Linked DNA regions of Caenorhabditis elegans. The protein of the gene in region 1 interacts with the protein of each later gene in a pairwise test. Each region holds a gene or a part of one and is shown in the gene's direction. Other genes may lie near its edges. The genes, in order: ubc-1, ubr-1 and Y38F1A.2.

What was found.
Region 2: the proteins of ubc-1 (region 1) and ubr-1 interact in a two-hybrid assay, tested with the Caenorhabditis elegans proteins (one study listed by BioGRID).
Region 3: the proteins of ubc-1 (region 1) and Y38F1A.2 interact in a two-hybrid assay, tested with the Caenorhabditis elegans proteins (one study listed by BioGRID).

Annotation. Positions count from the first base shown.
Region 1 is NC_003282.8:4,099,521-4,109,989, forward strand, and holds ubc-1 (Ubiquitin-conjugating enzyme E2 1), read left to right. Parts: upstream 1-3,499; 5' UTR 3,500-3,515; coding exon 3,516-3,566; intron 3,567-4,479; coding exon 4,480-4,869; intron 4,870-5,524; coding exon 5,525-5,662; 3' UTR 5,663-6,743; downstream 6,744-10,469. Other genes in the region: C35B1.2 (SWIM-type domain-containing protein), read left to right, coding at 1,415-1,588, 1,844-1,905, 2,340-2,487, 3,301-3,375; nlp-89 (Neuropeptide-Like Protein), read left to right, coding at 9,578-9,690. UniProt on the Caenorhabditis elegans protein: Catalyzes the covalent attachment of ubiquitin to other proteins.
Region 2 is NC_003279.8:3,811,760-3,821,206, reverse strand, and holds the start of ubr-1 (E3 ubiquitin-protein ligase ubr-1), read left to right. Parts: upstream 1-4,397; 5' UTR 4,398-4,410; coding exon 4,411-4,564; intron 4,565-4,618; coding exon 4,619-4,869; intron 4,870-5,075; coding exon 5,076-5,378; intron 5,379-5,435; coding exon 5,436-5,727; intron 5,728-5,786; coding exon 5,787-6,428; intron 6,429-6,785; coding exon 6,786-7,114; intron 7,115-7,163; coding exon 7,164-7,925; intron 7,926-8,265; coding exon 8,266-8,489; intron 8,490-8,537; coding exon 8,538-9,311; intron 9,312-9,368; coding exon 9,369-9,447. Other genes in the region: npp-11 (Nsp1_C domain-containing protein), read right to left, coding at 12-199, 805-1,275, 1,326-2,805, 2,877-2,969, 3,017-3,128. UniProt on the Caenorhabditis elegans protein: E3 ubiquitin-protein ligase which is a component of the N-end rule pathway. Recognizes and binds to proteins bearing specific N-terminal residues that are destabilizing according to the N-end rule, leading to their ubiquitination and subsequent degradation.
Region 3 is NC_003280.10:12,950,750-12,960,617, forward strand, and holds Y38F1A.2 (E3 ubiquitin-protein ligase RNF170), read left to right. Parts: upstream 1-4,208; 5' UTR 4,209-4,230; coding exon 4,231-4,282; intron 4,283-4,722; coding exon 4,723-4,873; intron 4,874-5,047; coding exon 5,048-5,120; intron 5,121-5,178; coding exon 5,179-5,278; intron 5,279-5,333; coding exon 5,334-5,410; intron 5,411-5,651; coding exon 5,652-5,774; intron 5,775-6,812; coding exon 6,813-6,901; intron 6,902-6,946; coding exon 6,947-7,133; 3' UTR 7,134-7,274; downstream 7,275-9,868. Other genes in the region: Y38F1A.1 (Exocyst complex component Sec10), read right to left, coding at 1,805-1,924, 1,974-2,189, 2,240-2,402, 2,457-2,572, 2,625-2,738, 3,884-3,964.

The DNA of each region.
Region 1 (10,469 bases):
GGTATATCGCTCAGTGTTTGCGTACTCCTGGAGCTACAGTAACCAGGAAAATTTTGAAAATCGAGCTGTGAACTTCTTTTCTTTTCTTCGGCTAAAGAATCGAGTATATCCACACAATTTTTCATTAAAAATCTGGAAATTTCGTAAAATTTGGTGTTTGGTCCGCAATCACTGTTTGCGTACTCTTGGAGCTACAGTAACCCGAGAAATTGAACGGAGATTCCCAATGTGAAGAAAAACTCGAGAATTTCGATTTTTAGGTCGAAAATTTGAAATTTTCAACTTAAAATCTATTTTAATATAGTTTTTGACGTGTTCCGCATTCCTCACCTTATTTTTTTTCCAATTTTTCTTTTAATATTTACCGATTTTTCAATAAAAACAATAACATCTGCTGCTGCTTCATCTTCAGAACTTTACACTTTTTTCTTCCTTCCGAATCATCTCTCACCGCTGCCAGTTGCTGTTTTGTGTATCACGTGAACAAGTCATGGTGTTTTTTGTTTTTGACCTGAAAAATATTTTGGGAAAAAAATGGAAGAAAATAACGAGTTTTCTCTCTCTTTAAAATCTATTTTTCTGCCTTTTTTCCCAACTTTTTTCCTAGAAAATCGAATTTTCAACTCAAAATTGGAATCTCTGTTCGATTTTGGCAATTTAACGGAAACTAGAAGTTGCTAGCTTCATTTTCGAAAAATTTCCGGTTACTGTAGCTCCAAGAGTACGCAAACATCGAGTGGTTGTGGGAAAAACACCAAATTCACGAAAATTCGAGATTTTGAGCTGAAAATTAGCCCTATGTCTAATCAAACAGTGCTGAACCCGAATTCCGTGACAAAAATTATCGGAAAATTGTATTGGGAGCATTTTCCTTAATTTTTAGCCATAGTATTGCTAAAAATTGGATTTTAAAAACTAGAGGCTCCTAGCTCAATTTTGAGATTATTCAGGTTACTGTAGCTCCAAGAGTACGCAAACACCGTGTAGTTGCAGACCACACACCAAATTTCACGAATATTCGAGATTTTGAGCTGAAAATTAACTCGTAAACTATTTAAACTATACTGAATCTGAATTTTCAACTGAAAATTTGGAAAAATGTGATTTCACAGCTTTTCCGCCGAAAAATCTCTGACAAGTTAACTTCAAATCAGCATTTTCGAATTTTCGACTGCAAATTCAGATTTTCCCTTCAATTTCGAAGTTTTTGACGGAAACTAGAAGTCGCTAGCTTGATTTTCAAATTTCTCGGGTTACTGTAGCTCCAAGAGTACGCAAACACCGAGTGATTGCAGACCACACACCAAATTTCACGAATATTCGAGATTTTGAGCTGAAAATTAACTCGTAAACTATTTAAACTATACTGAATCCGAATTTTCAACTGAAAATTCCAAAAATCAATATTTTCCAGATAATCTGCCGCCGTTACAATGGCCAAAAGTACAGCCAGTCGTTTGGATTTGTGCGGAAAATTTATTTGCTCAAAATTTTGCCACTATGCCCGCCAGAAGTCGCTGAGCAACTTCATAATCGAGATTTGGCAGTAATATCGTATTCCTACAGAAATGCTCCGCATCCGACGTTTGTGAGTGGAGGAAATCTGGAAAATTTGCGAAATTTCGAAGGATAAGTAGAAAAAACACTGAAAAATTGACCCAAATTCTGCAATTTTCAAGATTTTCCATGAAAAAATGTCTTCAAATTGAGAAAATTTGTGTTTTTCCATAAAAAAAACCGCGAAATTTCAATTTTACATCAAAAATCGAAAAAATTATCCAAATTCTGCTCAGAAAAGCCAATTTTCGAAGCTTTTCCATCAAAAAACTGTAAAAATTTGCAGATTGAGCAACCGGATAGGCAGAAGCTTCCAGATGGTCAACGTGTTGGTGAAGAAGTTGAATTGTTAGTTTTTTTTTTTTTTTGAAAATTTGAATTTTCAGGAAAAATGTGGATTTTTTGAGGTTAAAATTCTGAAAATTAAAATTCCGAAAAAAAAACTTCGGAAAAGTTCAGAAAAATTAATTAAAAAGAAAAAAATCCGGAAAAAATGTCTAAAATTTTTGAAAAATGAATTTACACAAAAATCTGAAAAAAAAATCACTTTAAAGAAATTTTTAATGCCAAAAAGTTTCAGAAAAATATCAAAAATTAAAACAAAATCTGTAAATTATTTAAGAAGTAATGAGTTTTCCAAAAAATTAAGAAAATAGTTTTTTTTTCTGAAATATTTAAATTAATTTTTAGGGATTTTTCAAAAATCTCAAATTTTCTATAAAATCCATAAAAATTCCCAAAAACTTCTCTCTAAGAAATCTATCAATTTCAAAATTTTTCAGAGTTTCCGGAGATGTGATGTTCGACGATGATATTAGTCCAGAAATGCGAGAAATGGTTGAAAATATGGAAAGAAAAAAGAAAATTAATTCGGAAAGATTAATGGAATTACTACAAAGAATACATCGAATTGATCAAATTTGTAAAAAAGTACGGATTTTTTTAGTCGAAATTGATTTTTTTATAGCTGATAATTAAGTAAATCAGAATTTTTACCTTAAAATCGTGAAAAAAATTGAGCCTAAGTTGAATATTTTGTACTGAAAAATTGGAAAATTTCGGCTTTAAATTTGAATTTTTCTGAAAAATATTATAAAATTTGCATTTTTCCAGAAAAATTGGACTTTTTTACTCAAAATTTTGATTTTTTGAAAGTTTTCAGTTAATCATTTCGAATTTTCCGGAAAACCTAAAATTCCAGTTTAAACTCAAAATTTTCACCGAAAACTTCAAATTTTTCAAATTTACCAAAAAATTGACATTTTCAGTGAGAAAATTGAAATTCCAAAAAAAAAAAAAAGATAAAAATCAAAAATTCACCGAAAATTTGAATTTTACTGAGAATTTCACGTTTTTTTGTAAAATTTTAAATTTTTGGAAAATTGATTTTTTTTTAGAAATTTTTAAATTAAAATTTAGAAATTTCCACTAAAAAAATCAAATTTCATTAAAAATTCATTAAAATTTTTTTTTTCACTAAAAAAGTTCGATTTGAACCAAAATTTTCTAATTTTCAGTTAGAAAATCGAATTTCAATGAAAAATTCCAAAAAATTCAAATTTTCAAAGAAAAATTTGACATTTTTGGCAATTTTCCAGCATTTTCATTTAACATAAACTGAATTTTTTACGAAACATTTTCGAAAGTTTCCAATTTTTACGGAAATTATATTCCAAATTTGCACTAAAATACGAATTTTTTTGGGAAATTCCAATTTTCTACCTAATTTTTCGATTTTTGCAGGAAGCTTGGCTGGAATCGTCGGCAGAAGTTCAACAACTCACACAAATTGCTCAACTTTTGCATTATTGTCAATAAATGTTAAAAAATATTTTCTTTAATTTTTTGATTTTTTAAAGGTTGCCGTACCTTTTTTCATACTTGTTCTAGCATTTTTCTGCATTTTTTCGAATTTTTAACCTAATTTTCACATTTTTTGCAGGAGTTAGGTTATCAATATGACGACGCCCAGCCGTAGACGTTTGATGAGAGATTTTAAGAAACTTCAGGTGAGTTTTGAAATTTTTGGCCCGAAAATTTGGCTTTCTTTGAACATTAGAGAACATTTGCAACAAAAATTGGTTTTTTCCAGAAAAAATTAGATATTTTTGGGATTTTTGATAAATTTCTCGTGAAATTTTTAAAATTAAAATTGCCAAAAAATCGCCGAAAATATCCATAAAAACGGCCGAAAATGTCCAAAAAATCGCCGAAAATTTCCAAAAAAAAATCGCCGAGAATTTTCCAAAAAAATTGCCGAATTTTCCAAAAATTCGTCGAAATTCTCCGAAAAATCGCCTAAAATTTCAAAAATATCGCTTAAAATTACCAAAAAATCATCGAAAGTTTCCAAAAAACGGTCGAAAAGCACAAAAAAAATGCCCAAAATTTCCGAAAAATCGTCGAAAATATCCAAAAGATTGCTCAAAATTACCAAAAAAAAAAAAAAAATTACCAAAAAAAATCGTCGAAATTACTGAAAAATCGCTCAAAATTTCCAAAAAATCATCGAAAGTTCCCAAAAAATCGCCAAAATTATCAAAAAATCGCCTCCAAAAAAATTGCCGAATTTTCCAAAAATTCGTCGAAATTCTCCGAAAAATCGCCTAAAATTTCAAAAATATCGCTCAAAATTACCAAAAAATCATCGAAAGTTTCCAAAAAACGGCCGAAAAACACAAAAAAATTGCCCAAAATTTCCGAAAAATCGTCGAAAATTACCAAAAAATCGTCGAAATTACCAAAAAAAAAATCACTTAAAATTACCAAAAAACGGCTCAAAATCATTAAAAGATTGCTCAAAATTTCCAAAAAAAATCGCTCAAAATTCCTAAAAAACTGAAAATTTTCCAAAAGAAAGGTTTCTTTTAATTTCCAAAAAAAATCGCTCTAAATCCCCAAAAAAACGACCAAATCTTTCAGGAAGATCCACCAGCAGGAGTATCAGGTGCACCAACAGAAGATAATATTCTCACATGGGAAGCAATAATTTTTGGACCACAAGAAACCCCGTTTGAAGATGGAACATTCAAATTATCACTGGAATTTACTGAAGAATATCCAAATAAACCGCCAACCGTCAAATTTATTTCCAAAATGTTCCATCCAAATGTGTATGCGGACGGATCAATTTGTCTGGATATTCTACAGAATCGATGGTCTCCGACGTATGATGTTGCCGCAATTCTGACATCGATTCAGTCGTTGCTCGACGAGCCCAATCCAAATTCACCGGCCAACTCACTTGCCGCACAGCTTTATCAAGAAAATCGACGGGAATATGAGAAACGTGTTCAGCAGATTGTTGAGCAGGTACACAACCCTGAATTTTGGATGAAAATCGGCGAAATTAGAGCTCAAATATTGAAAATTTGGCAGTTTTTGACCCGAAATCGAGAAATTTCACCCCAAAAATTGAAATTTGGCTGAAAATCGATAACATTTAAGTTGAAATACGAAAATTCTTAAATTTTCATCTAATGTATGCAAAATTTGGCTTTTTGTGGTTCAAAATCGTAAAATTTTACCCTAAATGTGGAAATTTAGCTGAAAATCGATGAAAATTGAGTTAAAATTAAAAAATTTTGGAATTTTTATGCCAAAACTGAAATTTTGAGAAAAATTAAACGTTTGGCTGAAATTCGGCTGAAAATAGGCGAAATTTTTTGCGAAATATGAAAAATCTGAATTTTTATGCCAAAATTGAGATTTTTTTTGCGAAAAATTGCTGAATTTTGGCTGAAAATGGCTGACATTTCAAGCAAAAATAATTTTTTTTTTTTTGAATTTTGCAAAAAAGAACCGAAATTTGAGGCTAAAAATTAAAAATTAGAAATTTTTGGCTTAGGTTCAGGCTTAGGCTTGGGCTTAGTCATTGGCCTGGACTTAAGCTAGGCCTAGAAGCCTAGGCTTCGACGAAGCTGAAAAAACACAAAAAAAGTTCCAAAAATTCTATAATTTTTTCCAGTCCTGGCTCAATTTCGGCGAAAACGAGGGCGACGCAGTGCTCAAGGATGACGTGGAAATTGAAGAAATTGCTGCTCCAGGAGCAAATGATGCAGACGATGACCGTATGGATGAAGGAGCCAGTGGATCGAATGCTTAAATTTTCAGGAATTTTTCTGAAATTTTTCTACCCCCAAAAATCATCTGAAATCAAAAGCTTTTCCCATCATCCCCGTAAAAGAAATTTCGAAAAAAAATCAATTTTTTTTTTTTGAAATTTTTGAATTTCCCCCCACATTTTTCTCTCAACACAATCGATCCCTTTGAAAATTTTTTCTTCTCGTTTATTCATTTTTTTTGTATTTTTTCCGGAACACTTTAAGATACGGTAGTTTTTTTTTGTATATATTTATACACCCCAGTCATCTCTCTCTCTCTCTCTCTCTCTCTCTCTCTGTCTTTTGTTGTTTACATAGATGAGGATTTTTTCCCGGTGAAAATTGGCTGAAAATCGGAAATTTTTGACCTTAAAAACTGAAAAAATTGTGAAATTTCAAGAAAAAATCACGATTTTTGACTGAAAAACAGCTAAATTTTGCGGATTTTCGGCCTTTTTTAGTGAAAAATGGCTAAAAATTGATATTTTTAGACCCAAAATTTGTGAAAATCTGAAAATTTCGACCAAATAGCTGAAAAATTTGTGAATTTTCGAAAAAATCATTTGGCATTTTTTAAGTCAAATTTTCACTATGTTTTTGTATGAAAATTCTGAAATTTTGAATTTCGATATTCCAACAAAATTTTCAGAGTTTTTAAGTTTTTTTTTGCTGAAAATCGCCATTTTTATACTCGAAATTTAATTGTGAAAATCGGAAAATTTTAGCCAAAAAATTATAAAAGTTGGAATTCTAACTCAGCTAACTTTCAAATTTTTGTCTGAAAATTCAATGTTTTTTTTTCGTCAAAAATCACCAAAATATTGCTCCTTTTTTGGCTGGAAATTCGAATTTTTCACTTTTTCCCCCAATTTTCATCATTTGCAAAAAATCCTCTTTTTTTTTCGTTTTCCCACGTTTATTAATTGATTTTTTTCGGATTTTATTGATTGATTTCCAACCATAATTGTCTTTTTTTTCTTCAAATGGCACCTTTTTTCTCTCTGTCTCTATGTCTCTGTGTCTGTCCCATCCCAATTCGTCAATTTTTCGACGTAAAAATGAATAAAAAATTTTGATGGCAAACTTTTTTTTGGAAAAGTTGCATTTTTTCCAAAAAAATTTGAATTCTCACAAAATTTTGTGCTCCAAAATCCGAAATTTGGAGCTTACAAGCCTACACAGGGGTCCAGAGCTTTAAAAATTCAAAAATTCAAAGGTTTTTGATTTTGGATTACGGAAATAAGACGTAAATTTCTGTTTTCACCAACATAATGGGACAGTAGTCCCCATAATCTAGTGGGTACTTCAAAAAAAGGTCCAAAAACTCGAAAATTGTAAGTTTTTAACATTTCCAACAAGTTTTTCTTACCAAAAACTTAAAATAAAAATAGTCTGCAGCTAGCGGGAATCGAACCCGCGGCCTTCTGCACCCCAACCAACTCTCTTACCGACTGAGCCACCGCGACACTCATTTTTCGAAAGTTTCTCAAATTTTCCACAAAATAGTTCAATCGACGCAGAATTTCACGCTGATCATTTTTGTAGTTGACAACTTTTTCCAAGCTTTCACCGTTCAATAGTTATGAGGGTTTAAAGTTTAGTGTGAGAAAGGGGGAGACGCAGACAACGAGACAGTCTGGGTCTCTCTCTCTCTCGTAGGTTCAAACTTTGAAGGCGCTTAACTCTGAAACTAGATTAGCTATCAAAAAACTCCCAACTATAAAAGTATCTAATATTTTAAGCTGAACAGCTTTGCAGTTAGCAAGTTTTTGATAGCTCTAACGAATTTCGAGTTTTCCACCAAAACCCATGTTTTCCCCCGACTGCAAAAACGCGCGCGAGTACGAATTCATTACTCCGATATATTCTCATAGTCCAAGAAAAATATTTGCTCATTTGTTTTCCGACGTGTTCCATCTTAAGAAAATCACATTGTTCTCGTATACGAGAGCAGGAGGTCGAATACAAAAAATAAAACGAGCGGCCAGGGGGAGAGTGACAACAACACAACCGTCGTGTATTTAAGAGGTAATCTGAAATTTTTTCAGATGCTGGAAATTTAATTATGTGAAGTTTTTAGTTTTAGTTCTAGTGTTTTGTAAAATTTTTCCGCTTATAACTTCAAAACCAGCGGAGCTATCAAAAAGTTTCTCATTACAAAATTATTCAGCTAAACGTTCTACACATTTCTATAGTTAAAAATTTTCTGATAGCAAGCCTAGTTGCAGAGTTACACGCTTTCAAAGCTTGGGCTTACGAGAGAGATAGAGGCTGAGAGAGACGCAGACTGTCTCGTTGTCTGCGTCTCTCCCTTCTCTCAAGCCAAACTTTAAACCCTTATAACTATTTAACGGTGAAAGCTAGAAAAAAGTTGTCAATTGCAAAAATTTTCACCGTAAAATTCTGCGTCGATTGAAGCATTTTTTGAAAAATTTGAGACACGGTGGCGCAATCGGTAACAGGGTTATCTATGGCGCAAAAGGTCGCGGGTTCAACTCCCGGTAGGTGCAGAGATTTTTCATGTTCAGTTTCTGGTAAGAAAAACTCAATTTTTGAATTTTTACAACATTTTTGAAGTACCCACTAGATTATGGGGGCTACTGGACGATTGAGTGGCGGAAAAAAAGAAGTTTCAAGACTTATTTCCGTAATCCAGAATCAAAAAACAAATATTTTTTGTAGAAATGCAGAATTTTGAATTCTTAATCTCCGGATCCCACGCGGGGAGCTTGTAAGCTCCAAAATGTTGGATTTTAAAGTACAAAATGTAGGGAGAATTAATTTTTTTTTTTTTTGAAAAAATTGCAAAAAAAAATTATTTAAAACCTTCAGTTTTTCAAAACTATTTGAAATTCTATCTATGACGCAGAAGGCCGCGGGTTCGATTCCCGGTATCTGTAGAATATTTTTTAAATTTTAGTTTTTATTGAAAAAAAATAGACTTTTTGGAATTTTTTGAAGTACCCACTAGATTTATGGTTCTTTTCTAAAATTCCCTCGATATGTGATCTACAAATTTGAAGACTAAATTCATAGTTTCTCATGACTCCATTTGTACCTCGTAACTCCAAAATAAAATTCATATGACGCCCTGTTTATGTCCTCGGCTTGTAACATTCAAAAATCACACTTTCCTAGATTTTATACGTTATGTATGTGGAATAACATATTTAAAAAGATACTATATTTTCAATAATTAAAAGCCCAGAGCCTGTTCTTGAAAGCCAAAGCTTAGAAGTCTGAGCTATAAAAAAGGTCTACAATCTAAAACCATGGCCTCAAAGCAAGCTTGAAAATTATCAAAATTATCAAAAATTTAAAACTCTTTTCTAATTGAAAAAAGTGAGCAAAACATGTTGTCAATCTACGAATCTTAACGCACGTCACTTGACATTAAGCACCAACCTACAGTCATTTTTTTTCCTTCCCTACATCATTCCATATTTAGCTTGCCTGCTCATGCTCCCAGCTATATAACTTTTAAGAATAATTACCTTTAATGGATTATCTATTGTCCAGTGCAATTATAGTCCATCTTCCCACTTCAAACAATTATCGCATCTGGCATTTCTCCTTTTCAAACATTGAAAAATGAATTCATTTCCTTATAGTTTTTCTGACACATTATCTGACGTCCGTTGCTACATTTTTTCTTTCGGTGGTTTTATTTGAGTACATATGAATTTCAAGCACGTATTTTTTGTATTAACATGTTTTTTAAACCCCTGACGCGTCGAAGTGATCAGTCTTTTCTGCGAAAAAATATTTAGTTAGTTTGGATCCGTGAATTTTGTAGTTTGTAGTTTGGTCACTAGTAATTGCTTAAGAAGCATTAGTTTAGTAATCGTGATATTTGTTATCTCCACCCTGAAATTCCCTATTCCAGGTAACACATATTGTCAATTGACTAAAACACAATGAAATCTTTTCTCTCAATTCTTCTGATCTCAATAACCATATCATCAGTGATTGGAGCTATCGATGGCAAACGGAGACCAATGAATCGCAACAGTTATTATGAGTTCTTGATGTAAGTTTAATTTTCTGTATATATCAAGTATATTGTCAGCTTGCAAGTTGGACCGAAACATAATTTTGATTAGTCGATGCACCATGTCTTTGCAAATTTTTTTTGATTTTGATTGTCTGCTAACCGAATACTTTTCAAAAAGTTTTGTAGATTTCTACTACTAAATATACTACATACTACATACATCAAACAGTTTTGATATGCATATGATGCAACTTTATCTGAAAATATGCAGGCTAATAGAAAGGTCATCACTTTTTCAACCAGGAGTGGGCAATTGCCGTCCGGCAAAGTTTTGTCGGCACATTGCCGGTTTGCCGTAAATTTTCAATTCCGGCGAATTGCCGATTTGCCGGAAACTTTCGAAAATACTCACTTTTCAAAATAGATGTAGGAGCATTCATAGGATGCGTACAGTTTTGGTGATTAAAATTGAAATTCTGAAATTTCCAAAAAAAAAGTGCAAAACCCCAGTTTGCCGAAAATTTTCGGCAGTTGCCGATTTTCCGCCAAATTTGCGAATCGGCAATTTGCCGGTTTGCCGATTTGCTGGAAATTTTCAGTACCGGCCAACTGTCGATTTGAAATTTGCCAGAAATTTTCATTCCCTGATAATTGGCAATTTTTCCAAAATAAAATTTTCGATTCCGGCAGTTCCGAGTTCGACTCCGAGGCAATTCCGAGAAATTCCGAGTTTAAAAATTTCGGCATTTTTGTTGTTCGGCAAATTTTTGTTGCTGGTAAATTGGGCAAAGTGCCGGTTTTCCGGCAAATTCGAC
Region 2 (9,447 bases), on another chromosome or scaffold:
AAAATTAGTACCGTGTTGAGTGGAGAGATCCATCAGCTTCTGCAGCTGCTTCTTCATAATAAGCTCAGTTTTCTCCAGCGGGGTCTCGGTTTTCGTCTTCAAAACTGTCGATTGCATTGTGTTAAGTGACTTGGTGATTTGATCGAGATCGAAGTCCGCACATTTCATTTGGGAATCCACGTTGAGCATCATTTGAGCGCTGGAATTTTTTTTTGAAATTATTATTTTGATTTTTAAGGGGAGTAAGGTCCAGGGCTGTCGCTTTTTGCTTTTTTTCTTTCGTCTTCAAGACTGTCGATTGCATTGTGTTAAGTATTTTCGGAACAAAAAACAAAAAAAATGCTTTCAAAAAGTTTTAGTTATTATGATTTTAAAAAAAACCTGTGGATTTTTTTGCTTAAATATTCAAAAACTCTCAACAAGAAAAAAATCTGATAGTTTTATGGCAGGATTTTGCGAAATTTTGTCAACTTTTTCTTTGTCGCAGCGGCTGAAATATAGTTTTTATCGAATTATCCCGATTTATTGCATATTTTGATTATTTATCTGGCGTTAATTCGTTAATTTAGTCATATTTTAAGTCGATAGCTATTCAAAAATTACGAAAATTGGATGCAAATCGAGCCAAATCAACGGAACAGCGTGAGATAATCAACCAAAGCATGCCAAATAGGGCAATATATGAAAAAAAATCAATTTCCATCGGCTTTTACAAAGAAAAAGTTGGGAAAACTGAAGTTTTTAGCTAAATTTAATATATTTCTTAAAAATTTAATCCATTAAAAATCAATAACTTTGACGTACATTTGCACTCTCTGAACATCATGTCTCGACGCAAATCTGCTATCAAGTGGGAATTTGTAATCAAGAGTATGCCATTCTGGAAGGCTCAGCTTGTTCTCTAGCTCAACAACATTTTGCTCAATATCGTTCAAGACAGAAGTCATGGAGGCGACGTTGAAATGCAGTTTCTTGCAGCTTCCACTCAAATCATCCATCTCATTGTACAATCCTAAAACTTTTGGCTCGAGTGTAATGAGCTCACGGTCATAAGCATTAAGCTCGAGCATTTTATTATGGAATACTCGTTCCTGCTTCGCAATTTCCGAATGATAACTATTGACAACTTCTTGAAGGGCGGTGAAGAAGGCTTTTGTATCATTTCCACCGAGTCCTGCTTTGATTTCTTCTTCAGAAAGTGTGTCGCTTCCACTTGCACCAATTTTCAGGCCTGCAGATGTAGTTGCAGCTCCTTTAAGTCCTGATGTTGTCCATCTGAAATTAAGAGTTTTTTTTATATTTTTAAAAAGTAAACCAAAATGTACCCAGTTCCCTTAGCCAATGGTGTTGAAGTGAGCCCTAGGCCAAGTCCAAGAGTTGGAGTAGCTTCTGCTGGCTTTGGAAGAGTGGAAGTAGTGCTGGTTGTGGTTGGAAGAGATGGAGTTGCTGACACTGTAGATGGAGTTTGTCCCAATGTAGCGGCAGTAGCAGGTGTTGTTGTAGTTGCTGCTCCAAACAATCCACCGGTCGGACCTACAGTTGCTGGTGCAGTTGTAGTCGCAGCCCCGAACAGGCCACCAGTCGGAGCTGCTGCGGCGGGAGCAGTTGTGGTTGCTGCTCCGAATAATCCACCAGTCGGAGCTGTAGAAGCAGGCGTAGTTGTGGATGAAGCACCGAACAATCCTCCAGTAGAAGCCGCTGGAGCTGCACTAGTAGCTGTTGTGGTTGCTGGAGCTGTTCCGAACAAAGATCCAGTAGCTGGAGCTGATGTGGTGGTTGTCGATGATGCTCCAAAGAGTCCTGCTGTTGGTGCGGCTGGGGTCTTAGCAGGAGTTGACGATCCGAAGAGACCTCCGGTTGGAAGTGAAGCGGCCGGAGCAGCGGCGGTAGATCCGAATAATCCCCCAGTTGTAGATGAGGTTGGTGCTGCGGCTGCGGCGGTGGTGGCTCCGAACAATCCTCCAGTTGAAGCTGCCGCTGGGGCGGTGGCAGGGGCTGCCGCAGCGGTTGTAGAAGCACTAGAATTACCGAACAATCCAACAGATGGAGTGGATGCTGAAGCAGCACCAATGCTGAAAAGACCTCCAGTAGCAGCGGCGGGAGCAGTAGAGGCTCCGAAAAGACCACCAGTGGCTGGAGCGGACGAAGGAGCAGATGTTGGTGCTCCGAACAATCCTGATGTGGCAGTTGTAGTTGCAGCGGTGGTTGCAGGAGCGGTAGAACCAAAAAGACCTCCCGATGGAGCTGCAGGCTTTGGAGCTGCGCCGAATAGTCCACCAGATGAAGCTGTCGCAGCAGGTGCTGAATTTCCGAATAATCCAGAGGTTGGAGCAGCATTGCTAGTAGCTGGTGCAGCCCCGAACAAACCACCAGAAGGAGCTGGGGCTGTGGAAGTTGGAGCAGCTGAAGATCCGAATAAGCCGCCGGATGGAGCCGCTGTAGAGGTGGAAGTGCTTCCAAATAGTCCTCCTGGTGCTGCTGGAGCGGCCGTGGATCCGAATAATCCACTTGATGGCGCAGCAGTTGAGCTACCGAAAAGCCCGCCAGTTGGTGCAGTTGTTGCGGTACTTGTGGATGATCCGAACAAGCCGCCAGTTGGAGCAGCTGGTTTATTAGCTCCGAACATGCCAGCACCAGCTGATGGTGCGCTTGCGCCAAACGTTACTGTAGCAGGTGCTGCTGAATTTGCAGAACTTCCAAAAATGCTCGTTGAAGCGGGAGCTGGCGCCGCGGCACCAGAATTTCCAAAGATTCCAGCAGACGCTGGGGCTGGAGCTGCAGCAGAGGAGCCTCCAAACATTGAGCCTGAAAAATTTAAAATTATACTTTTTGAATACGGGAGCGTATTTTACAAGTTTATTAAACCAAAAACCTACCAGTAGCTGTGCTGTTTCCGAAAAGTCCAGTACTTCCAGTGCTCGGCTGTGCGGATCCAAAAGAAAAACCTCCGGTAGTATTCGTGTTTCCGCCTAAAAACGAAAAAAATAAATTAGTTGAATTTTTCATCGATCGATACCTGTGTTCGCTGTTGATGTGCTCGAATTACCGAAAGAAAATCCAGATGAGGCTGTTGTGGTAGCAGCGGTTCCTCCGAAAATCGACGGTTTTGGTGCAGATCCTCCAAACATTTGATCTGGAATGATATTTTTAATATTTTTAAAGGGCAGCAATATTATTTGACAAAAAGAAAACGACAGAGAGGCAGAAAATAGTCATTTGAGTGCACAAATGAGCGCGTCGAGATTCGAAAAATGATTTGGTGGTCGCGCGAAAATGATGGCCTAAAAACACCGCAGACTAGGCCGGCGGCTGGGAGGAGCACGCGACGTCGGCGTGAAGGAGAAAAATCGAAGATAATTTCATGTGCTGCAGTTAGTTTGAAAATATAAATATTTTTGGGCCCGAATGTCTTTGTGGTTTCTATTGCTATTCTAACTTCTCGATTACAACTTATAATATTGATCCATTTTTTATACTGATATTTTAAAAAAGTTATGAAATGTGAAGAAAGATCTCGATCATCGAAACGATGAGCAAGCTTCTGAATATGCAAAGTTTTCTATCACAAAGGGGTAAAAACGCGGGAGAACCTTTTTTTCCTGCTGACCAAGTACTTTTCACGAAGAAATACTTTAATTTTTGATGAAAATAAAAAAGAAAACTATATACAAACTCAAAAATCTAACAACTCTCAGCGATCCACGCAAATTAGGAAATTGAAAACAAAAAGAGAAATTTGTGTACCGTAGTCCGAACACTTAAAGGCGCATGCCTCACCTTCAGGGTCTCGCCACGATCCACTTCCCAAGGGTTTTATTTTTATTTTTTTAGATTGTTTTTTTTCGCGAAATCAGTTATTTTTTCGGTGAAAAAGTATATTTTATTGCTTTTAAAGTCAAATAACTTTTATTAAAATATAGTTTTAAATTATTTTGACGTTATATGAGTGAAACATTCAAAGTCCACGTGCTCTAAAGTCTGATTTTAAAAAAAAGTTTTTTTTTATTGCTTCGCCAGTGAATTCGCTGACACGTAAAAATAATCAATATTTTTAATAGTTCAATTTCCTCATTGTTGAATTATTTAATCCACGATGCATTGCACCGAGTCCGTGAGAGCTCTTTATCTGCGGCAACACTCTCGCATCGAAAACAGAGAGAGAGAGAAGCAAATCTATATCCTCCCGTTCTCTCTCATCTCCTTCACTTTCTCCTAGTGTCCACTGTCATCATTTTTGCCTCCCATCACTGCTTTTTGTCCTCTCGTTCGCTTATTTTGATATGGTCATCAGCAGCATAATCGGGGGGTCGGAAAATAATCAATATATTTTATTTTCTTTTACGAATCCTCTTTTTCTTAGATGAAATGCTCCTATTTTATCAAGCTACCGATTTCAGTTCGACTAATGGAATGATTGTCGATTTAATACAATCAGCTCGACAGGGTGAATGGGCCCAAGTACGCCAGCTGCTGCTCAAGCACTGGCTTGTACAGGTCCCAGAGGTGTTCGAAGTGAATTCGGATTTGCCATGGGACAATACAGCCGCGAATGAACGAATTCTAGGTGGGTTTTTTTGAAAAAAAAAACATATATATTAAAAAGCCAATTTTGCTTCAGGTTCCCAAGGAGAGATTCTCCTAGCCCCACTGGTCAGTGCATTTGTACTAGACGTTCGGAACACAAAGAGCACACTGGAAGCAATGAATGGCATTGCCGGAGTTGATCCTGCAAGACGGGGACAAATTTGTGGCCATGTATTTAAAAACGGAGAACTTACGTATACATGTCTGGATTGTGCCACTGATGGGACATGTGTCATGTGTCTTCAGTGTTTTGAAGTTTCAATTCATAAATCTCATAAATACAAAGTGAGGATGCCTCAAAATGAATCAATTTCCACAGAAAATTTCTGAAAAAAAACATTCAGATTTTAGCCGAAACTTGCCCTTTTTCTCGAAATTTTAAACCAACATAGACAAAATCTTGAAAAGTTTTTGATTATTTTGAGCGAATATGAATGATAAAACACGCATATTTAAGTAAATCCAATTTATAATTGAAAAAAAATTTCCAGATGCACTCTTCCTCCGGTTCGGGATATTGTGACTGTGGTGATGCAGATGCATGGACAGAAGGTTACGCATGTGCAAATCACGAGAAAAAGGACGATGAAGAGGCGGCAGTGTTGGCTCCAGAATTGAAAAAACGATGTGAACAGCTGGTGGAAATCATTTTACAGTTTTCCCTTTCAATGATCACTCATAAAGATGATCTCAAACTTCCCGAAATTTTCGAGAAAATGAAGCCAGAGGTTACAAATGAGGCACAGCAATATTTGACGGTTCTTTACAATGATGAAACTCACACTTATGAATCTGTTAGTAATTAATATTCCGAATTTCAATTAAATCTTCAATTTCCCCGTTTTTTCCAGGTGATCAAAGTTCTGGAATTGTACATACATTGTACAAAGGATCAGGCGATGCTTGTAGCCACAATTGTCGATCGAGAAGGTCGAAGTGCTGTGAAACTTGGCAGTAAGGCTGATTGCACCAAAGCTAAGGATGATGTTCAGAGAAAAACAGCTCGAGATCCAACGTCAATTCGAAGATCATCGAATCATAATCTACCGTTAAGTGTTAAGGTTATGGATACCACGCTTTTCGCGCTTCAGAATTTTTCGATCTCCCTTCTTACTTGGCTCAACACACAGATGGATGTTTTTCGTTAGTTTTTATTTCTTTTTATTTCTTTTCATTATTCGAAATCGTGTTTTTATTTTCAGCTCCCCTTCGCGAAATTGTTGGAGAAATTCTGCTGAGTTCAAAGTTTGCACTGAAAAAGAATTACACGCGGAAAATGAAGTCAGAGGATCAACGTCTAGTTGCCGGAATTATCAGAAATGTTATGGTTTTGCCGGATGATGAAGAGGAAGAACTATTCGCACTTGATGGAAGAATGGATGTTGATGAAATGGATGACGACGATATTGGTGGAGAAGCTCTGCAAATGGAAATTGACGCGGATGATGAAGAAGAGATAACAGCAGCGTTGGCAGGAGTTTCAGAACATCAAGAATCTCCAGGTCCTTCACGAGATTCTTCAACATTCACAATGCTAGAGAATATTCTTCTCCAGGATACACAAATGTGGAAAGCTGGAAGATCGATTTTGCATCAAATGCTCATGCGGACAGTTTTCATGATTTATGATCAGAAAGTTCGATTTGCAAAGGCTTTTATGCTACATTATAATGAAATTTACGAGGATTTCATTAAAGATGATCATGAGATGGATGTTTCAGTTGTTGGGTTATCAGTTCAATTCATGACTGTTCCTAGTCTGGCTCGGAAACTTGTCGCCGAAGATCAAGCATTCAGTGTGATATCGAAAGCGATTCGGGATCAGACTGATAAATTTGTGAAGTGTGAGTTTTGAAAATATCAAACCAGACGTGGGCGGAAATTTTGATTTTTGGCAAGTTTCCGGAAGTTGTTAGACGGAAACACTTAAAACTGGGATTCTTTTTTGAAATTTTTTCTTATTTTCTTCAGCTATTTTTATAAAATTTGCTTACTTTTCAAAATAGATGTGAGAACATTTATACGATGCGTACAATTTTGCCGATTGAAATTGAAATTCTCAAATTTTCAAAAAAGAAATGTGCAAAACCACAATTTGCCGAAAAAACGAAAACTTCGGCAATTTCCGTTTTGCCGGAAATATAGAAATAAAGCCGCCCTCCCCTGTATCAAACCAATATTTGAATTTCTCTAATTTTCAGATTACAATGACGGAAAAATCGCGAGATTTGATTTCACAAGTCGCTCATTTCCACCAGAATTAAGAAGATCCCTTCATATCACTCGAGATATGGCCTATATCCTGAATGCTGTGCCATCGGAAAGCGACTGGAATCGAGAACTTATCGATGGATTTGTTCAAGGATTCGCTGATTTTCTGCTTTTCCTGCAGCATCTGCAAGGAATGGATGAGGTGAAACGACAAGCCGTTGAGCATCAAGTGTGGGAATCTGAGTGGGAAACAGCGTTCAATATCCTTTTACGATTGAAAGACGCGATTTCGATGATTATTGGATGGGCAGAAACTAATGTGAGTTTTCCTGAAGTAATTAAAAATCTCAAAATAATTGGATTTTCAGGAAGAAGTTCATAATCGTCTAATGATAATGTGCCTTGAATTGATGAATCGTATGCCACCTGTCTATACAAAATCCGAGGAGGATACCTATGAATTGACGGTCACTATCAACGGAGAATCATGTCGAATATCACATTTTGACGTGCTTAAATCATCCACCTCGGTCCATCAGCCGGTTGTTCGAATTATCGCGGGTCTCTTTAGTGCTTCGAATTACACGGGATTTTTGTTGAATAGAAGTAATAATTCACATACGAGTTTGAATCAAGAAAGAATCAAAGAACTTATCAACTGTAAGGACGAGACGAATCTCTACGAACTGAGTCTCCGAGTGCTCGTCCTGTGTGCACAATCCAACGCGACACTTTGGAGAAGAAATGGATTTTCGCTGATAAACCAGATTCATAATTATTTCTCTCCACTCTGTCGAAATGAGATGTTCGATCGTGATGTTCTGATGATGCAAGTAGGAGCTGCACTCACACCGTCAACAAAATTCATTTTCCACCTTCTTCATCGATTCCGTCTCTTTAAATGGGCTACATCCGAGTTTGAACAAGACAAGGCGAATGAGAAACCAGCGAAACCGGAATCAGAGGATCTGAGTAAGACGTTGGTGATGATCGCTGAAGAGTTCATACAATGTCTGATTCTGATTCTCTGTGAACGGTATACATACGGAGTTGGAAAGACTCGTCCGATGGATCAGATGAAACGAGAAGTTATCCATATTCTTTGTACTGGATCTCATACGTTCAGTCATGTAAGACTTTTTTAACTACGAAGCCTCGAAAGACCGAATTTCATAAGGAAAATAAATTTCTCAGATAATTTTTATGGCTGTTCAAAATTTCGAAAGATGACCTAATTTCCTTAAATACTAGTAGCCTGTGTCTAAATCAACAAAGAAAAATGTAAAAAATAACACGATAGTCTAATACAAATTCGACCGCTGCGGCAAGGAAAAGTTGAAGAAATTGTATTTTCTTGAACCGCCTTTTAAAATAAAATTAAGTTTCGTTTTTAAGGTATTATCGGCCATTTTGGGTATAATAAAACAGAAAATGAAGGTTTTTATTCAAATTAACTTCTAAAATTTCCAGATTCAACAGAAAATGTCACATGATATCAATTCGAAGCGTCTTTCTCTTCATGAAGCAGTAAATCTGGTTGCAGACTTCCGAAAGCCACTGGCCACCACAGCTGGACAATTCCATTGCAAAGAGTCGAGCCTTCCAACCTATTCACCATTCTTCATGCATTATTCAAAAAGTGATCAGTCAGCTGCTGAACAGAGTCAGGCAAGAGTTCGTGCGAAAATGGAAAAGTGAGTTATTGAGTTTATATTTTACTATCAAAATTCAATACATTTAAGGTCGGTTCGAGCTTGTGCGCCGCCTATTCTTCCGGATTTTCAAACATTTTTCGAGCGGATTCCCGAAATTCTTACCACAAATGTTCTTATTCACGTTGTTCGTCTGATTATCGATAGAACAGCTCGACGTAGCCGTTTCTCAAGTGATCGTCTCTTCCACAAAACACTATATCTGATCGGAATCGCGTTAAACGAAGAGGAAAAGAATCCATCTTTCGGATTTACACAACGTGCAGAGGAATCGATCGGTCTTTTGTCGCTTTTAGAAGGACTTGTTGGAAAACCAGAGTCATCGATTTGTCCGATCCTTCTCGAAGTGACCGTCGAGAAATACAGAAAATTGATTAAAGCTAGAGCAGGTGTTCCTGAAGCAGCTCCAGCTCCTGAAAACAAGCCAGCACAATCCGAAGAAGAAATCAAAGCGAAGCGAGCTGCAAGGGCGGCGGAAATGAGACAAAAAGCGATGGCAAAAATGTCGAATATGCAGTCAAAGTTTATGAAGAAAATTGAGGACGAAGAGAAGAAAGACGAATCACAGACACCTTCTGAAAAATCTGAAACTGTTGTGAAGAAGGACGACTATGATAATAAGCATTTCTTCGATGAAGATGTTGTGAAGCAAGTTGGTCACGATTTTCCGGTTTGTATCGGTGCAAATAAGTGGCACGCGGAGCTCGTGAAACCCCGAACATTGACGTGTATTCTGTGTCAAGAGGATGAAATAATTGCACCGCAACAGGGAAAACCAATGGTTTGCGCAGCGTTTATTCAACAGTAAGCTGGCTAATTGAGTTTTTTAAAAGTTATTTTACAATTTCTTTTTTTTTTCAGATCTCAACTTTTCACTCATAAGAACAAAAATGGAGAGCTCATGACGGCTTCAAGTGGGACAATATCTACACGTGATCTT
Region 3 (9,868 bases), on another chromosome or scaffold:
GCACTTGACTTTGCATCCCCCTCTTTAAAAGAGAGTGAGATGAATAAGCATAAGCGGAAACAAAACTTGAAAAGAAATGAACATTTTTCGTTTTTATTTCATTATTTCAATTTCTTTTGGACGATGCGGGAGAGGATTTATATAAGATTTTGGTAGCAGGGGGAGAGTTTGGGAATGTTTTTGAATTGACAGAAAAGCAAAAAAAAAAGAAATTCGGCTCCGGACAACTAAAAGTTAATACCGAAAATTAAGTATCCAAAGTTGGGCAGAAAGTTGGAAAAGTTTGGCAAAAAGTTTCCAAAGTTCGGCAGTAAGGCAGAAAGTTGGCAAAGTTCGCCAGAAAATCACCAAAGTTCGGCAGTAAGGCAGAAAGTTGCACAACTTTTGCAGGGAACTGTAAAAAAACCAAGTTTGTCAGAAAGTTGTAAAAAACAAATTTCGGCTGTAAGTTGGCAAAGTTTTCCAGAAAATTGGCAAAATTTGACAGAAAGTAGCCCAAGTTTGGCAGAAAGAATACCAATTTTGGCAGAAAAGTTTAAACAAGTTCGACAGAAAGTTGGTCCATAATTCCAAGTATCTATATCAGGTGTGGGCGTCAATTGCCAGTCGGCAAGTTTTTTGTCGACAAATCGGGCAAATCGCCAAATTGCCAATTTGCCGGAAATTCACGATTCCGGCAAATTACCGATTTGCCGGTTTGCCGGAAATTTTCATTTTCGGCAAATTACCAATTTGCCGATTTGCCGGAAATTTTCATTTTCGGCAAATTATAAGTTTGCCGGTTTGCCGAAAATTTTCAGTTCCGGCAATTTACCGATTTGCCGATATGTCGGAAATTTTCAATTCCGGCAAATTACCGGTTTGCCGATTTGCTAATTTGCCGGAAACAAATCAAAACAGAAATACGTACAGATTCATGATAGAAATCTTGTTTCACAGTGCGATATACAAAACTGCCAACTAAAACTTCAAATCATATTCAATAGTTTTTTTTCCAAATAAAATCGTATAATTACGTATACAATGACATGAAAACCGTATGAATAGAAAATGCCGTTGTTGGATGGGTGGGGGGGGGGGGGGGTCTTGGCAGGCGGGCGGCACATCAGAAAAAGAGATAAGAACTACCCCGATCGTTTTGTTATTGTTTTCATGTTTTCAATTCAATGAATACATTTGTAATGGAACTTGAGGAAATGGGCGAATTGGAAATGCTAATGGGCAATAGCTAGCCATTTTTTGTAATAAGGAAGCGGATGGGTTGGCGAAAAACTGAATTGCACCCCATTGTTGAACTTTGACAGCTTATATCTCAATTATCATTTTTTTAATCCAAAAATTGTCAACTGACAAAATATTTTTTATTTCTTTTTCTATAATATCGTAGTTGATAGTATATTAATATCTTTAAAATAAACCGAGATATAACGTTTCAAAGTTAAGTAGTCGGACTTATAGCGAAATACGGTATCTGGTAGTAAAAAAAACCTCAAAAACGATGGAACTCCATAGACTTGCGTCATAACAGACAGAATGACAGCAAAAAAAAAGAATCAAAAAATAAAGTTGAAATTTGTTCCCAAACACAAGAATCCCCCGGGCTCCGCCACAGAATGTCAGCTGTTTCGAGAGATAAAATGCAAGATGAATTCACTGATAGATTAAACAAAGTGAGCCTCCTCATAGTTTTTTTTGACGTTTTAAACTGATTTCGTGTGTGTCTTTGTGTGCTGCAGAATTATCAAACTCTTCATTTCTTTTACTTAAAAAATAAAAGAAAAAGGGAGCTTTAACCAGAACCAAGTTATTGACAAGTGTCGACTGGAATTTCAGTGTTGTCCTTGATAGATTCCAAGTTGATTTCTCCGTTGCTCATGCTCGACAGGGTTGACATGCCAGAACGCGTAGCGAGAGATTTTGCGGTCTGAAAAGTCACAGTGTGAAGCTTTTTATATAAGTTTTAAAGCCCCCACCTTTGGACGATCTATCTCGGCGAACAACGCGGTGACTCGTCCTCCAAATCCATCGAAAACTTTCTTGTAGTACTCCGACGTATTCGGAGATTGTTGGAGAGCCAAGAAAATGCCAAGAAGATTTGCGAGCTCGTGCAGTGGGTCTCCAGCCGGATGCTCGCGGACGAGCTTCTGAACTCCGACGGCTTTCTCGTAGCGAGAAATTGCATCGGCTTGCTGGAAATTGACAAGATTACTTTCAAACTGATGAAAAATAAACCGCGAACCTTGTGCTCCATGATCGCGAGCTTTCTGTGATGCTCGAGCACTTTCGAAGACAATCCCTCCGTTTTCTTCATTGCCCCACCAAGTCCAGAAATTGCTCCGAGCATTTGAATGCAGCGCTCCACAACCGAGGAGGTGTGATCTTCCACCGATGAGATTCCGCTGCTGAAAAGTATAATATTTCAATAATTTTCTACCAAACTCTCTGTAATATCTCACTTGATGTATGGCTCGGTGACATCCGAGATTTGCTTGAGCCGCTCTTCACACGACTTAACAATGTTCTTCCCGGTGATTGTAAGGTCTTTAGACATATCCGTAAGCTTCTCCTTGGTCTGAAATTTTCAAATTTTGCACGGGTGTTCATAAACCTTGCTAATCACATACTCTTTGAGTTCTATGTTGATGGCTCTTCTTGTAATCACTAATCGCTTGCTGCAGAGCCATCATCTTGCCAATCTCCCTCTCCAGCTCTTCAGTTCCATCCATTACCGCCATTATCTGCAAATGTAAGCGGTTTTATGTCTCTGCGCCTCTCCGTCTCTTTCGCAATGTATTTACTTTCACATGCTGGGTCTCCGCGCTCTCTTGGCAACCCAGATGTGAAAGATACACTGGGGCGTTGTTTTTCGTTTTAAAAAGACGTCATCCTACACTTAAACTCTAGATTTTATGAAATTAATGTAGAATTTCTGAGCTTTTTTTTTTGTTTTTTATGTTGTTGTTTTTAAAATTGTTTGAACTTTCTTAATTTTTTTTATATTTGTTTTGCTTTTAAAATTGCCATCGTTACAACGAAGTTAAACTAATTTTTAATAAAAAAAACCAGTTTAAAATGCCACAAAATTCCAATAAAAAATATTTTGAAAATTAAGAATTTCATATTATTACGGCAACAATAAATCATGAGAATGCGTACTTGGTGCATTTTATTTGACGCGCGATATCTCTTAGCGAAAACTACAGTAAGAGCTTAAATATCTAGTGTTATTTGAGTTCTTACTGTAGTTTTCGCTAAGAGATATCGCGCGTCAAATAAAATACACCAAGTACGCATTCTCATGATTTATTGTTGCCGTAATACCTAGCCGCAAAATTATTTAATTCATGACTCTCGAAACGATAAAGGTGTAAAAAATATTCCAACAAAAAATCCGCCACGTAATCATTTCCGAAAAGTATGGATTTTTGCTACGTGGCATACTACACTTTTTTCAAATCCTCTAGTTTTCTGGGCTGCCTTGCAAAGAGATGACGTTTAATTAATTTGAAAAACCTTAGGTTCTCAGTAAATTGCTAAAGAAAATCCAAAAAAAAGTCAGTGTAGTTCGAGAAAATGCCGAAAACTGACTGAGTTTTCAATGACCGCAAATTTTCAATTTATTACAAAAAAACGACTGGAACTGTCTTGAATCAGTCTAAACAATTCGAATTTTTGACCAAACTTCCAGAGTAAGTCTCGCAAAGTTTTTGGCATTTCTCAAATTTAACCGTCTTTTTCTCTGTGAAACATATCATATTGGGATGATATAGAGCAATGCCAATATAGGTAGAACAGCTAGAGCAGCTTTTAACTTTCTCCACATAAACTTATAAGCTTATAAAATAGCTGAAATGCTGAAAATCTCCCCCCGTATTATAATTACCTTGGCATCCAGCGCCACAAGATCGGGCTCGCTTGTCAATTGGCTCGATTGATAACTATCCGACTCAGACATTGACGACATCCCGGACACAACTTTTCGTGTTGTTAAAGAGCGTACTTAATTCACGCTTTCGATGATGAGAATGTTAAGGAATAAATTGATTTATTGATTTGATTCGATCTTTGTTTTTTCTGTTAGATGTACGCGTGGCATTTCGTTGTTTTCTCTTTGCAATTTCAAGTCATGAGAGTTCACGTAATGTATTTCTTTTTTTTCTTCTTTTATACATTTTCTTTGCTAAATACACGTTTCTAAAATTAAAATATTTTAGAAAACTAGTAAAAATCATGGAGCAAGGTGTGCCTGCCACAAGTTCAGAGATCCCGCCATTTACAGAAAGTAAGTTTGGGAAAATGATGGGGGAATTTTATGTTTTTTTCTCAATAATTTCAGTAATAGAGGTCTCTAAGAAGCTCAATTACAGTAACCCTCTAGCATTTTGCAAGTATCTCTATCCTACAGTAACCCACAGAACTCGTACCGTAACTTATATTCATGCAGAAAGTATTTAGAAAGTTTGTATACCTAACTTAGACATAAAGTATTCCAGTTTCGATTTTACAATACTACAGTACCCCTACAGTAAACCTTTGGTACTTCTACAGTAATCCTAATTCACGTCTACATTATTCCTAGCTCCCTATACAGTAGTCTGCAGTAGTACAGTAGTCTTTTGGAACCACAGTAACAACCTGGTAAAGTGCAGTATCCTACGGTCTCTAATAAAATTCCTACCGTATCCTCTACAGTAACCCGCTACAACTATACTCATTTTCCAGATATCACAATTCCCGAAGTTGTCAGCGAAACCGTCACGGAGCCAGACGAAGATTGGCTGTGGCCATCGGATCCAGATGTGGAGCTCGCCACCCAGATTACCATGGCAATTGCGGTGATTTTCATTGTGAAGGCTATTTTCGATGCGTGGCAGTGAGTTAATTTAAAAATTTCGATAAGTTGAATGCCAAGATGCGGGCGGTGCCTATTATTGATTTTATGATTGGTTTGATCTTTATTTCAAATAAACTAGACAGAATTTAAAGTGTGAGCATTTTAATGAAATTTAAAGCATTTTTTCAATATTCTAAAATATACATTTTCCAGATCCCGACGCCGTCAGAGAGCCGCCAGCCGCATGGATGAAAACGCCGAGCGAAACCAAATAATTACGCAGAGAGTAAGATTTTTTAAAGTTCACCGGATAATTTGAAAAAAAATGTTATTAAAATTTTCAGAGAATCAGTGAAGCTCTACACCAAAGCTCCCACGAATGTCCCATCTGCCTTGCAAATGCCAGTTTTCCTGTGCTCACCGATTGCGGGCACATTTTCTGCTGTAAGTTTTTCTTGGCTGGGCTCTAAATTTCAATTATTTTCCGTTTTTCCTCCAGGTGAATGTATCATTCAGTACTGGCAACAGAGCAAGGCAATTGTGACGCCGTGCGATTGCGCAATGTGCAGAAGCACTGTAAGTTGCTCACAGAGTTTCATATAACACGGGGTGTCAATGTGTCCCATTTTGGTTTGATCTTCGAGAAACGCGGGAGAATGGAGACGTAGACTGTTCAACTGATTTCGTATGGTTAAGAGTGTGCTGACGTCACATTTCCCTGGGGGAAAAATTCCCGCATTTTTTGTAGATCAAACCGCAGTGAGACATCCTGACACCACGTGGATATATAATATTTATACAAATATGTTTATTTCAGTTCTACATGCTTCTCCCAGTCCACTGGCCAACAATGGGGACCTCCGAAGAAACTGATGATCACATTCAGGAAAATAATATTCGGATCGATGACTATAACAGGAGGTTTTCGATTAATCGACCGGTGAGATTTTGAATATTCAATTTTTGGTCAAAGTAAAAAAAAAACAGAAAAAAAATATCGAGATTATCAAAAAATTTTGTCACAGCTTGGTATCAAGGGTGTGCGGCAAATTTTCCGAATTTGCCAAATTTGCCGCTTACCGAGCTTAGCAAATTTGCCGAATTTGCCGTTCACCAAGCTTGGCAAATTTGCGAATTTTGCCGAATTTGCCGTTTGCCGAGCTTGGCAAACTTGCCGAATTCGCCAAATTTGCCATTTACCGAGCCTGGCAAACTTGCCGATTTCGCCGAATTTACCGTTTATTGAGCTTGGTAAATTTGCCGAATTTGCCGAATTTGCCGTTTACCAAGCTTGGCAAATTTGCGAATTTTGCCGAATATGCCGTTTGCCGAGCTTGGCAAATTTGCCGTTTGCCGAGCTTGGCGAATTTGCCGAATTTGCCAAATTTGCCATTTACCGAGCCTGGAAAACTTGCCGAATTCGCCGAATTTACCGTTTATTGAGCTTGGTAAATTCCCCGAATTTGCCATCTGCCGAGCTTGGAAAACTTGCCAAATTCGCCGAGAACGGTAAATTTCAAAAATGTACACTTGCCAAATTTGCCGAACTTGGCAAACATTGAAATTTGCCGCACACATGAAAAATTTTACTGAAAGTTTTGTAAAAAAAAATCTAACAAAAACCAGTTAATTCCATCAATTATTCTATCAATTTGGCCCTTTTTAAACTCGAAAAATAGTGCGATTTACCGAATTTGCCGAGCTCGGAAAATTTCAAAATTTGCCGTGCACACCTGGTTGGTATGCTCAAGTTTCACCCAAAAAATTTGGTAAAGAAACTGGTAAAACTTGGGCAAAAGTGTGTATAGTGTTGTGCCAGATTTTGGCAAGAAGTTGACTGTGAAATTAATGCTCCTGGAACTCGGGGCTCTTTCCGTGCCCAGTTTGAGATAAATTGTAACGTTTTGAATCAATATTTTCAGCTCGAACTTAAGTTGGGAATTCCGAGTTCCATATCCCATTAACATGTACTTTCCAGGTACTCGACTACATCCGTGACATCCCGATCCTCATCCCCTACCTCATCCGCAACTTTTTCAACAATGACATCTTCACATTGGTCTACCAGTAAGCATCCTCACCCTCTTCTCCCCCAACTTACTCCATTTCCAGAGTTCGCATCGGATTCGTGTTCATCTGTGTGATCACCTACTTCTTGCTACCAAGTGATATGGTTCCTGAGAGCATTTACGGAATTATTGGGTTCCTCGACGACTGTATCATTGGGATTCTGGTGTTTGGAGCCATGTTCCGGTGGCTCAGAGAGTATATGGCGGATCGAGGTTTAGCGAGGAATTAGGAAGCTTTAAATTAATTTTTTTCTTGCCGAAATCAGGTTTTCTTGTACAAAATCACCCCCCAGCTTTCGTTCCCACTGTGATTTGACCCAACACATTTGGTATTCGATTTCGGTTTCAATAAACTTAGCATATTCGACATCATCCCAGAAAGAGACATTCAAGGAAGGGGACGACAACTTGGAAATGTCTCATTTCATTTCGAATTGCGCCATTTCCGATTGTGAGGGGAATCTCGTTTTTTGTTGGGTTGTTCGACAAAGATAAAGACGAGATGAAGGCTTTTAATGAAGCGGAAGATATAAAATATTTGGGCATGTAACATCATTTATATTTATTCAGACAGTGTTTAGAGGTTTCAATGTATTTAGGTTAATGCCATCATTGCAGGCAGGTAGGCAAATGTGACTACTTAACGCATCTGAAAGTGCATGTTGGTTCTAGTTAATTTTTGAGGCAGGCAGGCAAGTAGGCCGCCTAAAAAATATAACAAAATAGTTGGAAATATTAAATTTTGGCAAATTGCCAGATTTCCGGAAGTTTTTAAAGGGATTTTTCATAAGACGGAAACACAGTTTTTGCGCAAAACCTGATTTTTCGAAAATAAAGAAAAGAATTTTCGAAATGTTGGGGTTTTGAAAAATTAGTAAAAATTAAGTATACAGGGTTGGGCGGCAAACAATTTTCACCGGGAAATCGGCCGGAGTTGAAATGCTTTCCCGTTTTTTTAAAAATATATTTTCATAAAATTCTCTTAATTTTCAAAATAGATGTAGGAACATTCATAGGATGCGTACAATTTTGCCGATTAATATTGAAATTCTGAAATTTCCAAAAAAAAAATGTGCGAACCCACAATTTGTCAAAAATTTTGTTTGTCGGTTTGCCGACTTGCCGGAAATCTTCAATTCCGGCAATTGCCGATTCGCCAATTTGCCGGAAATTTTAATTCCGGCAATTCGCCGACTTGCCGAAAATTTCAATTCCGGCAATTTGCCGATTTTCCAGAAATTTCAGTTTCGGCAATTGACCGATTTGGCGGAAGTTTCAATCACGGTAATTGGGTGATTTGCTGGAAATTTTCAATTCTTGCAATTTGCGAATTTCCTGGAAATTTCAATTCCGGCAATTTGCCGATTTGCTGGAAATTTTCAATTCCGGCAATTGGCCGATTTGCCCATTTGCCGGAAAAAATCGTTTCTGACTGAAAATTAGATTTTTTTAAATTGGAATTTTTCAAAATTCAGTTTTATGATAACAGTTTATCTGGGCGATTTTTTCTGCAGTAAACTGTGGGCTTTACTGGGAATTGAAATAATTTAGGATCTAGTTTCAGACAGTTCAGTGATAAAACTAATCAATCCTTTTCTTTTTAAATTTAATCCGTGTAAATCCATCTATTTTACTGTAATTCTATGAAACAGTACACAGGTGATTCGCGTTTCATGTGCCACACGCTCCCTCTGAGTCGAGGTGTGCGAAGGGTGTATGCGGCGTGTGGAGGGGGTGAACACGCGTGTAACGTGTGTGTAGCGAACAAAACGTTCGCAAAACACGCGTAAAGCACGCGTTGCGAAAATTTCGTTCGCTACACACACGTTAGACGCGTGTTCATCCCCTCCACACGCCTCATACACCCTTCGCACACCTCGACTCAAAGGGAGCGTGTGGCACATGAAACGCGAATCACCTGTGTATGCATACATATGTCTCATTCCCTTGGCCTCCCACTCTCCAAAGTAATTATGTATATGAATAGCTTATTGAAGAAAGTAAATGATACATCAATTTCTTCGAATCTTATAATAATAATAGCCATTGGTTCTTACTGCGTGTGAGACGGCTAATAGACATGGAAAGCGGAACTGGTTGGGTGGTGGATGGCAGTCGGCTTAAGACAAACAACCGTGGTGACCAATTGCCATTAATTAGTAGAACGAGAATTTTATTGGTGATTTTTTCAAGCTTCCAACAGGGGCTCCCATGAGGTAGCGCGGCGCGGAACCCCGAACGTGCCGGTCGCTTCCAAATAACCATCTTTTCGCACTACATTGCGCACACACCAAACTACGAGTTTTACGCTAAGCTGCGAAACCCCGAACGTGCCGGCCGCTCCAAACGACGACATGAGGCCCACATTTGGCACCTCACTCCACTGTGAGCCCTACTTCCAACATTTGTAAGAGCTTATTGTCGTAAGTCCAGTAAAGTCCGGTAAAAAGATTCATATCTTCAAAATATAAACAATTTTTGGTCCGAAACTCACAGAGGTTGGTTTTACTGGCCGAGTAGTATCATCTACAATTTCATACACTGTAACTGCCTAATAAACTTCACTACAATCAACTACCACTATGCCCTGAAAACCTGACCCCTATGCCTTCCTGAAAGAAAATGCCCGGATCAATCCCAGAAGACAAAACTCGATCGTTCGCCTCAATCTTTTTTCCCTTCACGACTCTAACTCTCCACCAAAACCGCACTATTTACATTTTCAAATGCTAGTGTAAGCCTCTCCGAACTGTCGCCCCCTCCTCCTCCCACACCCGATAGCCGCTTGTCTGTCCGCGCGCGGCAACGGCTTCTTCTTCTTCTTCTTTTTCGCCTTTAGCTTCTTCTTAGCTGGTCGAATGTCTTTTGTGTTTCTTTTTGGGTGAGAAAGTAGGTCGCGGTCGGCATTTGTAGACGCTGAGGAGGGGGAGAGGAATAGCTAGTAGAAACTGTTTTCAATGTGTCG